Linked DNA regions of Tamandua tetradactyla. The protein of the gene in region 3 interacts with the protein of the main gene of each other region in a pairwise test. Links are inferred from orthologs where the notes say so. Each region holds a gene or a part of one and is shown on either strand. Other genes may lie near its edges.

Region 1 (3,742 bases), on a different chromosome or scaffold from region 3:
ACAGTCAGGCAGCAGCGGGGCAGAAACTGGAGCCATCTCTGCTGACGCCAGAGCCCAAGGCCTCCCCACATCAGGTTGTGTAAGGTGGGCTGGGGCGGGTTTCCTGCACTCCTTGGGTCCTGCTGAGACTTTGGCATGAGTTCACAGAAAAGGGCAGTTCAGGGAGTCTTTCCTTGGAGGGAAGCAGAGAACGGAGACACATCCTCTGCTCACTCTCAGCACACATCATTTATTATTATTTTTTTTTCTGAATAAATGAATTTACTGCTGAAGAGCCCCAAAGAAAAAAAAACTGAAATGTATTTTCAGGCCAAGCTTCAGCATTTGGCAGTTATTCTGATCTGACCCCACTCCTTATGGCATGGCTGTCAGTTCCATGGCCAGCTTTGGATACTTCCAGTGGCAGCACATTCCACATTAAGCAGCAAGGTCTTCCTTATTCTGAACCAGAGTTGTCGACCTCCACCCCCACCCCCCACAATTCCAACCCCCCCATAATTCCATCTGAGGCAACACAGGGTTTTGTGAAGAATGCAGACTTGAGTGTCAAAAAGACAAGTTAAATACTGACTCCAATTTGCAAATCTCTGTCCCTTTCTGGGTCACTTTCCTTGCAGGACTGCTTTGAGGACAAAAAAAAAAAAAGATACTCTGTGTAGGGGGGCTGGTCCTGCAGAATGTCAAAATGTTCTCCTCCTTGCAGCCCCCCATGCCAGGTCTGCCCTCACTCAGCCAGTCACCTCCAGTTCTAAGGTTGTTCCTATCACGTGTGATGAACCCAATCCTTCCATCCAGGTTACTCTCCAACAAATGCCACTGAGGCAGATGTGTCCCCCACAAGGAACACTGGCCCAGATGGGGCAGGCGGATAGGCTGATCACCGTCCAGTGGCTGGGAACAACCCACTGGCTGTTACCGGGGGCCGGGTAACAACCAGGAACACCAGTGACTCTGGATCTACCTTGCTCAGAAAGCAAGTAGATCCATCACATCCTTTCTCCTCAGCTACTGTCCCTTGTCCAGCTCCCCATCTGAGGCAGTGGGCACTCAGCCTGTCCTGGTGAGAGCCATCATCTTCCCCCTTCAAACTGGTCCTTCCTTGGGTTGCCCTGACTATAAACTGCCCGATCATTAGAGTCAGCAGCTGGGGAATCACCCCCTTCAGCCCCTGTCCTCTGCCCTCCCTCCACCCTATTTCCAGAGGATCCCACATTCTGTCTGTTCTGCCTCTTCCATTCCTCTCCATTCCTTCCCACTCCCCTGCCCTGAACTGGGGCAGGTCACGGTCATCTCTCACGTGGGTCTTTACAAATATCTCCTCCCTGGGCTCTTCAGCCTCCACCCTCCACCAGGGCCTTAAAAAAATGCACGTCTGACATGTCACCCTCCAGCTTACAAGTCCTTAGTGGCTACCTGCGTCCTGCAGGATCAAGTCCAAACTGTTTATCCAGCACCCCAGACCTCCCTCCTCAACCTCACCAATCTCTCCGGTCTCACTGACTGCCCATTCAGGAGCACGGACATCACTGGCTTTCAAAACTGAACACATCTGCTCTCTTGCCCATACCTCTTCTCCACTTGGCTAGGGCTCAGATGCCACCGTCGCTGGGCTCCCTCCCCTCCTCTTTTCAGTGGCCCCCTGCTCCTCCCTTCACTCTGCACGGTGCGCAGCACTCTGCATCCAGAGCTCAGGCTGGGAGTGGGGTGGAGAGGCCCGGGGGTTTTATTTCCACCCTCAGTATCCCGACCTCAGAACCTCAGGGCATTACGGGTCAACCAAGGCCGCTGATAGCCCAATCCAGAGAGGGCAGCCGGCCCTTGGTTCCATCTGGCAGCCACGGGTTCTCCTCCTGCCTTCCGCACTCACGCGCTGGGGAACCCTAGGCAAGTGACTGCATCACTCGGAGCCTCAGCTTCTTCATCTCTAAGCCGGGCATGCAGACGGCCCAGTGGCCCTGGGACGAGTGTCCGTCTTCCCCCTCCCCCCCACTGAGCCACCTTAGGGGGAGGGATGGGCCGGCGCGTCCCGAGGGGGGAGTTGCGGAGAGGGTCGGCCCGCCCGCCCCCGCCCGGGTAGGCAATGAGTAACCAGCTCCGCGGCCAGGGTGCTCTTTGGACGGAGCGGGACAAAAGGCCCTGTGTGCGCCGCGGGTTACTGATTTACCTCCCCCTCCGCCACCCCGCCAAGCGGACGCCCAGGTCCGCCGCGCTGGGAGCCGGCAGCCCCCGGAGCCCCGCAGCCTCTCGCCCCCTGGCGGCGGGGAGCACAGCCGGGGCCCGCACCGGGTCCCAGCTCACCTCAAGCCTTCGTGGCTGCGCTCCCGTCACAGGGTCTCCGCTCACCTGGCGGCTCCACGGCCCCGCCCCCGCGCCCGGCCGGGCCCGCAGACAGCCCGGGCGCGTGTCCGCCCGGGGCGGGAGAGCCAGAAATGCACCCACCAGCACCGCGGGGCCAGGGGCGGCCCAGGGCCCCGCCCACTCCGGCCCCGCCCGCCCCCCGGCCCCTCCCCGCCTGGACCGGCTCTATCCTGACAGCGGCGTGAAAGCTGGCAGCTTAGCGCCCCACCCACAACAGGCCCCGCCCACCAAGGGCCCCGCCCCGCCTGGACCAGCGCTATCCTGACAGCGGCTTGGCCCAGGACAACCCAGAGCCCCGCCCACCTCGAGCCCCGCCCCGCCCACTGGGACTGGCGGAACCCGGGACAGGCTCGGCTGAATTCCGGGGTCCTTCCTGCTGCCAGCCCCCTCAGACTCCGCCTCTTTCGCAGCACTTCCAAGTTCTAGACCACTTACTGGTGGGTAGACCCCGTGCTCTTCACCCCACTAGGAACGAGATCCAGCCCGCCCGCCGTAAGCAGACCTTGGCCCAACCTGGCCCCTTTGTTCTTAGGCGCGTTCGCCCGCCCCCTCAAATCCATTCTCTGCGCAACTTCCAGAATATTTGAAACACAGATCAGACTACATCCACCAACCCATTTCCATTTTCCAGTAGCTGTGAGTAGCAACTGGAAAATTTAAAAATATAAACATTTTTGGCAAAACCTGGTCCTTGCTCATTTGCACGTGCCGTTCCCTCTTTCTGGAACGCTCTGTCCCTTCTTGGGCTGATTACATTTATTTTTAGGTCTTAGCTCAAAAAGCACTTCCTCAGAGAAGCCCTCTGGACTTGGCAGGGTCTCTCTGGCTTCTTTTCGGTTTGTGAGACTGGACCCGGTGGGCTCAAATCTCAGCTACCGCGCGCGCTTGGTGGGTTACTTTGTGTCTTCATCTTCTCGTCAGTAAGATGGGTATAATGATTATACCATCCTCAGGAGGTTTTTGCAAACAGTAGACGTATCAGGGTGAATAATCCTTCAGAACGCTCCCTGGCATATGGCATTTGCTTTGTAATGTTAGCTGTGATTATTTTGGACACGTTATTTCTCATCACTCTCGCCAGAATGGTCAACTGTGTAAATAGTTGCGTAATGCTAAGCTCCTAAAAGGCAGGAACTGAGCCTGCATTCCTTGCCATTTTATCTCAAGTACGTGGCCCGGTAGGTGCCTCACGAGAAGCTCCGCCCCCACCCAGCTCAGGTGGACCTCACCTGTAAGTTCTTCTCTCTTGACCATCTAGACTATGGTCTAGACCTATGACCCCTGCTCACTCCTCACCTGAAGTCCAAGCTCTGGGCTCCTCTGAAGGATCCTTGAGGAAAAAGGAAACCCTTCAGCTTGAGTCTCAGGCCCACCTCAGATTTTC
Region 2 (3,742 bases), on a different chromosome or scaffold from region 3:
AGCGACTCTTTGCCACCGGAAATCCGCTGTTATTACGCTCATTGCGGGTAGCGTCCGGGCCGCAATTGTGAACGCTTGCACTGTGGCCCGTCCACGGTCCGCGCGCCTGTGTCCCCCCCGTATGCCCCCTGCCCCGCCCTTTCCCGTACCGCGCTCACCACGTTGGTGTCCCGCTCCAGCGCTGGCTCCCAGCCCATGTCCCGGGGTCCGCAGCAGTCCAGGCAGACGAGCGCGCGGCAACGGTAGTGGCAGGTGAACTTGCAGTCTGCGGAAAGGCCGGGCCGTAAGGCAGAGGGAGTCCCACTTTCACCTCGGAGAAGCGCCCAGGGGGACCCAAAGGAAGCCCCCGGGTGGAGGGCCCATTCCCCGGGCTCTGCTTGTTTGGTCTTCTCTCGGGTCTCATTTTCCACCCGCTGCCACACAGACTCTAATGTCAGCCTCTGGGTGTTTAGAAACTGGCAGGAAGGCCACTGGCGGTTAGGGACCTAGGTCTGCTCAATAGATGGCTCTCAAGCACCTAGCAATGAGATTACCCCTTCCATATTGTTTCCCCCTCGCTTACTTAAGGGAAAAACAGAAATCCCTAACCGCCTCTGGTCTTTTGTCTTCTGTCTCTACACCCCTCACTCCAAAACTTATCTCTATGCATCTGACTATTCACCTTCCCTCTTTTACCCACTCCAGGCTTGCCCCTCCCTCCACGGAATTGATTGCCCTGGCCAGGGTCCTTGGCAACTTGCGAGATTGAGTTTTCCACCCTTACCTCCTCGGTATTATTTAACTCTTGCTTTTCCTAGGTGCCCATACTCTCTTGGTTTTTCTCTCACCTCCACGACTCCTGTTCAGCTCTTTTATTGGTTCTGCCCCAACTTGCTGATCTCGTAATGGGGAGTGCCTGGGCTCAGTCCTGATGGCTGCCCTCCTCTGTCTACTCTCACTACCCCTATCTTATCCACTTGCTTTGCTTTCCAGATCTAAGGCTCCATCAGGCACTGACCTCTCTTCTCAGAGCAAATCTTGTGTATCAGCATATTCACTTGAATGTTTAAAAGACACTTCAGACCGAATATGGCCAAAGTTTTACTCACTTTTCCTCTACCTCACCTCTTCGATTCACTGGAGTTCCACATCTCAGTGGAAATTGCCACCATTCCTCCAGCAGTTTAAGGCAAACCCCCAACTCAATTCTTGATTTTTCCCTTGCCTCTATCTCAAAAACACACTCAAAACGATCCCATTTCTTGTTTCCATGGTCACTTTATTTCTCCTTGGGAATGGTGCAGCATTCATATTTTGTATTCAATCATAAGTTCTGTGCTTCTGTCACCTGAATACTGGGCAGTCTCCTGTATTGGACGGAGGATCTCCGTGCACACACAGGCCTGACACTATATCCCTAGGTTTCTGAATGGACTGGAGCAGTGATTCTCAACCCAGGCTGTACATTAGAATGATTTGGGGAGTTTCAAAAAGATTACTGATGCATAGGGCCTATCTCCAGCAACCCATCTGAGGTGGGATCCAGGCATAGGGAGTGGGAGGGCTGTAAAAGCGCCCAGGTGATTTAAATGGGAGAGCAACCTCTGCTTGCCGGTGATGGTGATTCACAGGATGACAGAGGCCTGGCTGGTGTGTCCCTGAATTCCATGTTGCAGCACCTGGTTCACTGGCCCCATGTGGGTGTTTGCTGAACAGACTTAAAATCCCTGCTTGCAGGGGGCCTGTCCAGCGTTCTCAACTTTCCCAGGTCCCCTCCCTTCATAACTTCCCTTCACCACAGGGGTATTCTTTAGTGGGATCTGGGTAAGTGAATCTTTGGGAAGGGGCAGGCCTGGGATATGGGTTCACAGCCTTTCTCAAGAAGGGCCAAGGCACTTTAAAGGGAAGATAAGAAACTTGAAATTAGCAGCTTGGAATTCAAAGGCAACTGCCCCTGACCAACCGCCCCAGATGCAGGTGGCGCATAGCAAGATGAACCATCTGTCAGCACTCTCTCCCGCGATGGGAGCCCAAGATAACGGCCCAGGTCCGTGGGGCCATTCCTGCCACCCCCCTCCACCTCGACTTAGTCCGGAGCGATGGCGCTCCCCCTCAGCGGCGGTTCTGTTCTCGTCTGCGCAATGGGCTGCTACTCACGGGCACACTGCAGGCCCTTGCGCACGACGCCCCAGATGAAGTCGCCGCAGAGATCGCACCAGGTGTGCGTGGCGGGCCCAGCCGGTTGGAAACGGTGGCCACGGCCAGGAGCCAGGTGCCGTTCGGGGTAGCGTGCAGTGCCTGGCGCAATGCGAAGCGCATTGGTGCGCGCCAGGCGGGTACGGCCGGGGCCGGGGCTGCGAGCGGGTGTCAACTCCTGTAGCTCGATGAGCTCGGGCTCGGCCGACATGGTCCGCCTGGCCTGGCCAGGGTTGCGCGCTCAAGCAAGCGCCGGGCGGGCGGGTCCCGACTGCGACACCGCCCCCTTAGATTCAGGCAGGGCGGAGCTCGGTGAGAGCCAAGGAGAGCTGTGCAACGGAAACTTGGGTGCGGGGTTCCGTCAGCCCGCAGGCGGAGCCGAGAGGAGTTGGGGTGGGGAGACTGGCAAAATCCCCGCATTCCCTTCCTTGCCTCCCTCATCCACATGAACACACCCCCCCTCCACCCCCTCTGCCCCCGACTGCGACAGAGCACACTGAGACAAGCGTGTTTCTAGAGGCCTGCTTTACTCTGCTAGAGGAAGAGGGTCTCCACATCCTGCCCAGTCTTCCTGCCCCAGCTTTCTGAGGCAGTGTCCCAGGGTGGGGCAGGAAGTGGGGAGCGCTTTGCTTTGGCAGGGGATGGTCAGCTGCTCTACCCCACCCAATGGCGCTACCCACACAGGAGGCCAGGCTGAAGTTTCTAGGTTGAGGAGCGCACTCTGGGTGGGCTCCTCTGGCAGAGTTGGTCGGCCCTCCACGGCCACAACTTTCATTTGACTCTATCACCCTGGGCTGCCAGGACACAGGCCTTTCCATGCTTCTCCCAGTGTTTGACTTGACATTCCCTGCAGACAGATGGACCAGTGAGGAGGGCAGTGTTTGGAGGTGGGGCTCAGGGTTCCAGGATCCTAGGGTACCCTCACCTGCAGCAATACCATTCGTTCTGGCATCTGGAGCAACGCTTAGAGGCCTCTGCGCTGCAGTAGGCACAGCGGGGCCGCTCTGGGGCCACTGCTTCCAGCACATCCAGTCGGTAGGTCTCAGCCCACCTGGGGAAGGGTCAGGAAGACATGACTAGGCCTGGCAGATGGGCACATAGGGAGCCCCCCATTCCCAGGCCATGCCTCCTACTTCTTTACCACCCCTTCTATCAGCTCAGCAGGGCTTACCTCCGTGCCTGTAGCCGCAGGTCCTGCTCTGAGGCACTGAACATATGTCGCAACTGGTGCTTGGCAATGGCTTGCCACTTGCCTCTGTTCTCTCGCTCCAGCTGCTCCCAAATTTCTGGGATCTGGGGAGTGGAGTGGGTTGGGGGGAGAAGTAGAGAGTAGCAGGGAGGAGCAAAGGCAAAGAGGACAGTGGTCCCAAGTAATATCCCAGTGCCTACCTGTTCCAACACCAGGTCCTTCTTGGGGGCCTCGGGTTCAGCCAGGGCCAGGTGGGTCAGAAAATGCTGCAGATCTGCCAGGTTGGGCAGCTGGTCAAGCAGTGTGTCAGTGAGGAAGGCCTGAAGCTGCAAGGGTGTTGGTGGAGGCTGTGTTAGGCACATACTGGCCAAAGGGCCA
Region 3 (3,742 bases):
GCCCCGGGTTACAGTCTCAGGTAGGCAGTGGCAGCTGGACACGGGGGCTCCTGCCCTGTCAGAGAGGGAGTATGGGGTGTGCCTGGGAGCCTGGGCCCCAGTCAGTCCTCCAGGCCCAGGATGGGCACCAGGCAACGCAGAGGCGTGAGGGTGAAACACTTGGATAAGCTGGGGCCAAACACTCCCAGGTCTGCTGGAATTCCTCCGAGACGGTGAGCAGTAACCCCTGCGGGACCTGGATGGGATGGGGCGGGCATGGGGACTCCCCACTGGCCTCAGCTTTGCCTGTCAAATGGGTCGGGTTGCAGAGAGCTCGCAACGTGCCAACTGTGAAGGGCTGCGCACACAAGGCAGCTCCGTGTCTCACTGGTCTGGAGGAGACGCCCGCTGGCACAGGGGTGTGACCAGGGGAGGGCTCTCCCAGCAGGCTCAGCTCCAGCTGCCAGCACAGGAATGGGAGGTGGGGGCAGAGCTGGGAGAGTCCTCTGGAGACCCCTAACACCTCTGAGCCTCAGTCTCCTCTGTAAAATGGGGCTGGGTAGAGGGAATAAAGGAATAAAGGAGACAATGCACAGCACATAGGAAAAAGCTCTGAAGGCAGGAGCCTTATCATTTTTGGTGAGGGGGTGTTATGGCTCTCCTTCCCTGGACCCCAAGCAGGTTGGCAGGGTCCCTGGGCCTCAGGGAGATACTGGCCCTCCTCCCCACCCACCTCAAGCTGCAGATCAGCCAATACCCCAAGCTGCAAATTCATCCTGGCCCTCTCTACAGAGTGGCCCAGAGAGAGTAATGCCAGCCCTGAGGTTACACAGCACACGGGTCAAACAGTGCCCCCCCAGCAGTGCTGCCCCTCACACCCGTCACCCCTCTCCCTTCACAAGTCTGTAAGTGTAACTTTTATTTCAGCATGCAAGAATTAAAAAGGCCTCCAAATACGAACACCTCCACCAGAGAGGTGGCGGACCTGCCCTGGGGCGCACAGCACACCCATGACCCACCACACCAGTACCTAGCTCCAGAGTAGAGAAGCACCTTATTTACGACCCAGCGGTCTGTAAATACGAGGCCTGAGCGGCCGGCGCCCCGCCCCCGCCCCCGCGAGTGCCTCCCGGGTTACTCACCGCGGTTGGCCAATGGTCAGGGCTCCGGTGTCCGCTTACGTAAGACGCCAGAGGTACCGCCCTGTCCGTCCGCCACCGGCCCACACCCTCTGGGACCCCACGCGGCCTCCCGCCCGACCATGCCGTGAGGCCTGCCAGGCCGAAGCTCTTCCACAAGGACACCACCACACTCCAAGCCGCGGGCTCTGCCGAGCAGCTCATGGCAGCACCCATGTTTTTAAAAGCATTCCGTACCCGTGAGCTCACGTCACACTCGTGATGCGCACGCAAGAAGGTATGATTACGCCCGCTTTACAGATGGGGAAACTGAGGCCCAAGGGTGGTAAAGGGGCTTGCTGGGCCGAGGCGGCCCCTCCCCACAGCCGCGCCCGGTGTGGAGCCCTCTCATACCACCCCGCCTGCCCAGACTCTGACATGCCCAAAACATCCTTTCCTGTAACTGCGGGAAAAAAAATCCCCTTTCGCCTTCCAGGTTCCGTGCCCCCCCACCTCCCCATGACAAGTCCTGCCGCCGCCACAGCCGCCGGCTCACAGACCACTTCCAAAAACGCCCGGCGGGGACCCAGGACCGGGGGCGGCCGGACAGGCCGCAGTACGGACCCAAGCCCTGGACAGGGGTTGGAGGCCCTGGGCCCGCGAAGGACCGGGAAGAGAGTGCGCGGCCGGCGGGGGGACACCACCGTCTCCCGAAGGGACAGGCAAGCTTCCCGGCCGCGGCTGCAGAACGGAGCGCGGGGTCTGCGGAGACGCCCCACGCAGGGCAGCCGCAGATGCGGCAAAGTGGGCTCCAAACTGGTGGGCTGGGGCGAGCTGAGGCGCCCAGACCCCAGGACGGGGGAGTCCAGCGAGTTCCCCAGCAAGGGCGCAGACGAGGTAGGGGTCCGAGTTCGACTAGCCCGGAGACAGTCTGGGGCCCGCGGCGGGAGTCGACGGGGGTCACTGGGGGTCAGTGGGCCACCCGGCTCCTCCTGGCCCAGCCTGGGGGGCAGCGTGAGGCTCCCTCCCCACGCGCGCGGGGGCATCGAAACGAGGTGTCGGCCCGGGAGGCCTCGGCCAGGCAGCGGCCCCGCGGCCTCCGGGGGTCCGAGTGAGGTCGCAGGCTGGGCGGGGGCGGCCGGGGCGAGGCAGAGCAGGTCAGCCAGAGGGCAGGCCCGACCCCGGAAGGGCTCGCCGGCAGGCCCAGCCGGGCTCAAGCCGGGCGCTCGTACCTTTGGACGCGGGCACGCCGGCGGGGGTGCTGGAGGCGGGTGGCTCCATGGCGCGGGGAGCCGGCGGCGGGACTAAGCCAGGGGGCGGCGGGCTCGAGCGGCGCGGCGCGGGCTCATGGCTGCGGGCGAGCGGCCGGGCGCGGCGGCAGCGAGGCGGGGCGCGGGCAGCGCGGGAGTCAGACTGGGCAGCGCAGCGCGCCGGGCCCGACGGCGCCCGCCCCCGGCCCCGCCCCGCGCGCCGATTGGCCCGCCTGCCCCCGGGGCCCGCCCAGAAGCAGGACCCGCCCACTGCCCGTCAAGTCCGCCTCCCGCCGGGAAGCCCGGGCCCCTTCAGGCCCCGCCCCCGCCCGCATGCATCAGACCCCGCCCCGGGTCGGGGCCTCAGCGCGCGCCCCCATTTGCCCGCAACCCCAGTGGAGGCCGTACGTGGGCTGGCCCGGGGTGTGTGACCTGGAAAAGCTCTGAGAGGCCCCGGAGCATCGGGCGAGCCCCACAGGGACAGACGAAAGTGCCCCTGCGATGAACTCAGGTCAGACCCCGACTTCCCCCCTTCCCGGGGCGGGGGGCAAGACTGGGGACGACCCTGCGCCTCGGCCGCTGGCCAGGCCGGTCCACGTGCGCTGGCCGTGCTGTAGATGCCCGCGGGGTGGGTGCGGAGGCCCTGCCCGAGGTCTCACCCTGGCGTTCCCTGGACATTGGGTCAGCGCCGCTAAGACAGAGCATTCCCTCTGCGGCATTCCCCGAGCCTCTGTGCTCTGCAGCCCCTGGCCAGGCTGGAGTCGGGATCAATGACTCAGATGGAGAGTGAGGGGGGCTGGCTGTGGGCCCATCCGGGGCCTCCTTGGGGAGGGAGCAGATGCCATGACCCGTCGGTGGCACAGGGGCTGACCTCTGTAAAACAAGATGATCCCAGCGCCTTGCCCACACAGCTGTGAAAGAACCAGAGCAGATAAGGGGTGAGTGAGCCTTATAATTATCACCATTTGCTTCCTGCATCTCTTGCTCACCCTTTCCAGGCAGTGGGATGGAAAGTCATGAGATCTGGACTCAGACGGCACAGCTTCAAATCCCAAAGACCTTGGATGAGTCCCTGAGCAGGTCCGTGCCTCTGTTTACTTGTCTGTGCCATGGGGCGTTGAGGCCTTCCTGAAAGCATCCCATGCTTGGAAGTGCCTGCCTCAGAGGCCTGCTTGGCACGCACGCAGGCATGCACACACACACACATGCCCAGGAAATGTGAATTCATAACGACCTCCTACAGGAAGACACCCCGGCTTTACCACTCCTGGGTGTCCAAGTGGCCCAAAGCCCTCTGTCCCAAATGGACCAAGTGAGCCTGGCCTAGTCGTTTCACCTCATGGTCTTCTGTCCATCCCCTGGAAAATGGGCACCTGTGCGGCTCTCTTCCCACCA

The links. The genes of interacting proteins can lie anywhere in the genome.
Region 1: the proteins of MAP2K3 (region 3) and FGFR4 come close enough for resonance energy transfer, tested with the Homo sapiens proteins (2 studies listed by BioGRID). The link is inferred for Tamandua tetradactyla from reciprocal best matches to the Homo sapiens genes MAP2K3 and FGFR4.
Region 2: the proteins of MAP2K3 (region 3) and RASSF1 come close enough for resonance energy transfer, tested with the Homo sapiens proteins (2 studies listed by BioGRID). The link is inferred for Tamandua tetradactyla from reciprocal best matches to the Homo sapiens genes MAP2K3 and RASSF1.

The regions. Positions count from the first base shown.
Region 1 is NC_135346.1:58,739,750-58,743,491, reverse strand, and holds the start of FGFR4 (fibroblast growth factor receptor 4), read right to left. Parts: upstream 2,461-3,742; 5' UTR 2,299-2,460; intron 1-2,298. UniProt on the Homo sapiens protein: Tyrosine-protein kinase that acts as a cell-surface receptor for fibroblast growth factors and plays a role in the regulation of cell proliferation, differentiation and migration, and in regulation of lipid metabolism, bile acid biosynthesis, glucose uptake, vitamin D metabolism and phosphate homeostasis.
Region 2 is NC_135341.1:35,763,542-35,767,283, reverse strand, and holds the start of RASSF1 (ras association domain-containing protein 1), read right to left. Parts: upstream 2,454-3,742; 5' UTR 2,387-2,453; coding exon 2,137-2,386; intron 266-2,136; coding exon 150-265; intron 72-149; exon of another isoform or gene 1-71. Other genes in the region: ZMYND10 (zinc finger MYND domain-containing protein 10), read right to left, coding at 2,947-3,022, 3,101-3,226, 3,347-3,468, 3,565-3,690. UniProt on the Homo sapiens protein: Potential tumor suppressor. Required for death receptor-dependent apoptosis. Mediates activation of STK3/MST2 and STK4/MST1 during Fas-induced apoptosis by preventing their dephosphorylation.
Region 3 is NC_135332.1:158,023-161,764, forward strand, and holds the start of MAP2K3 (dual specificity mitogen-activated protein kinase kinase 3), read right to left. Parts: upstream 2,462-3,742; 5' UTR 2,379-2,461; coding exon 2,330-2,378; intron 1,396-2,329; coding exon of another isoform or gene 1,380-1,395; exon of another isoform or gene 1,187-1,379; intron 1-1,186. UniProt on the Homo sapiens protein: Dual specificity kinase. Is activated by cytokines and environmental stress in vivo. Catalyzes the concomitant phosphorylation of a threonine and a tyrosine residue in the MAP kinase p38.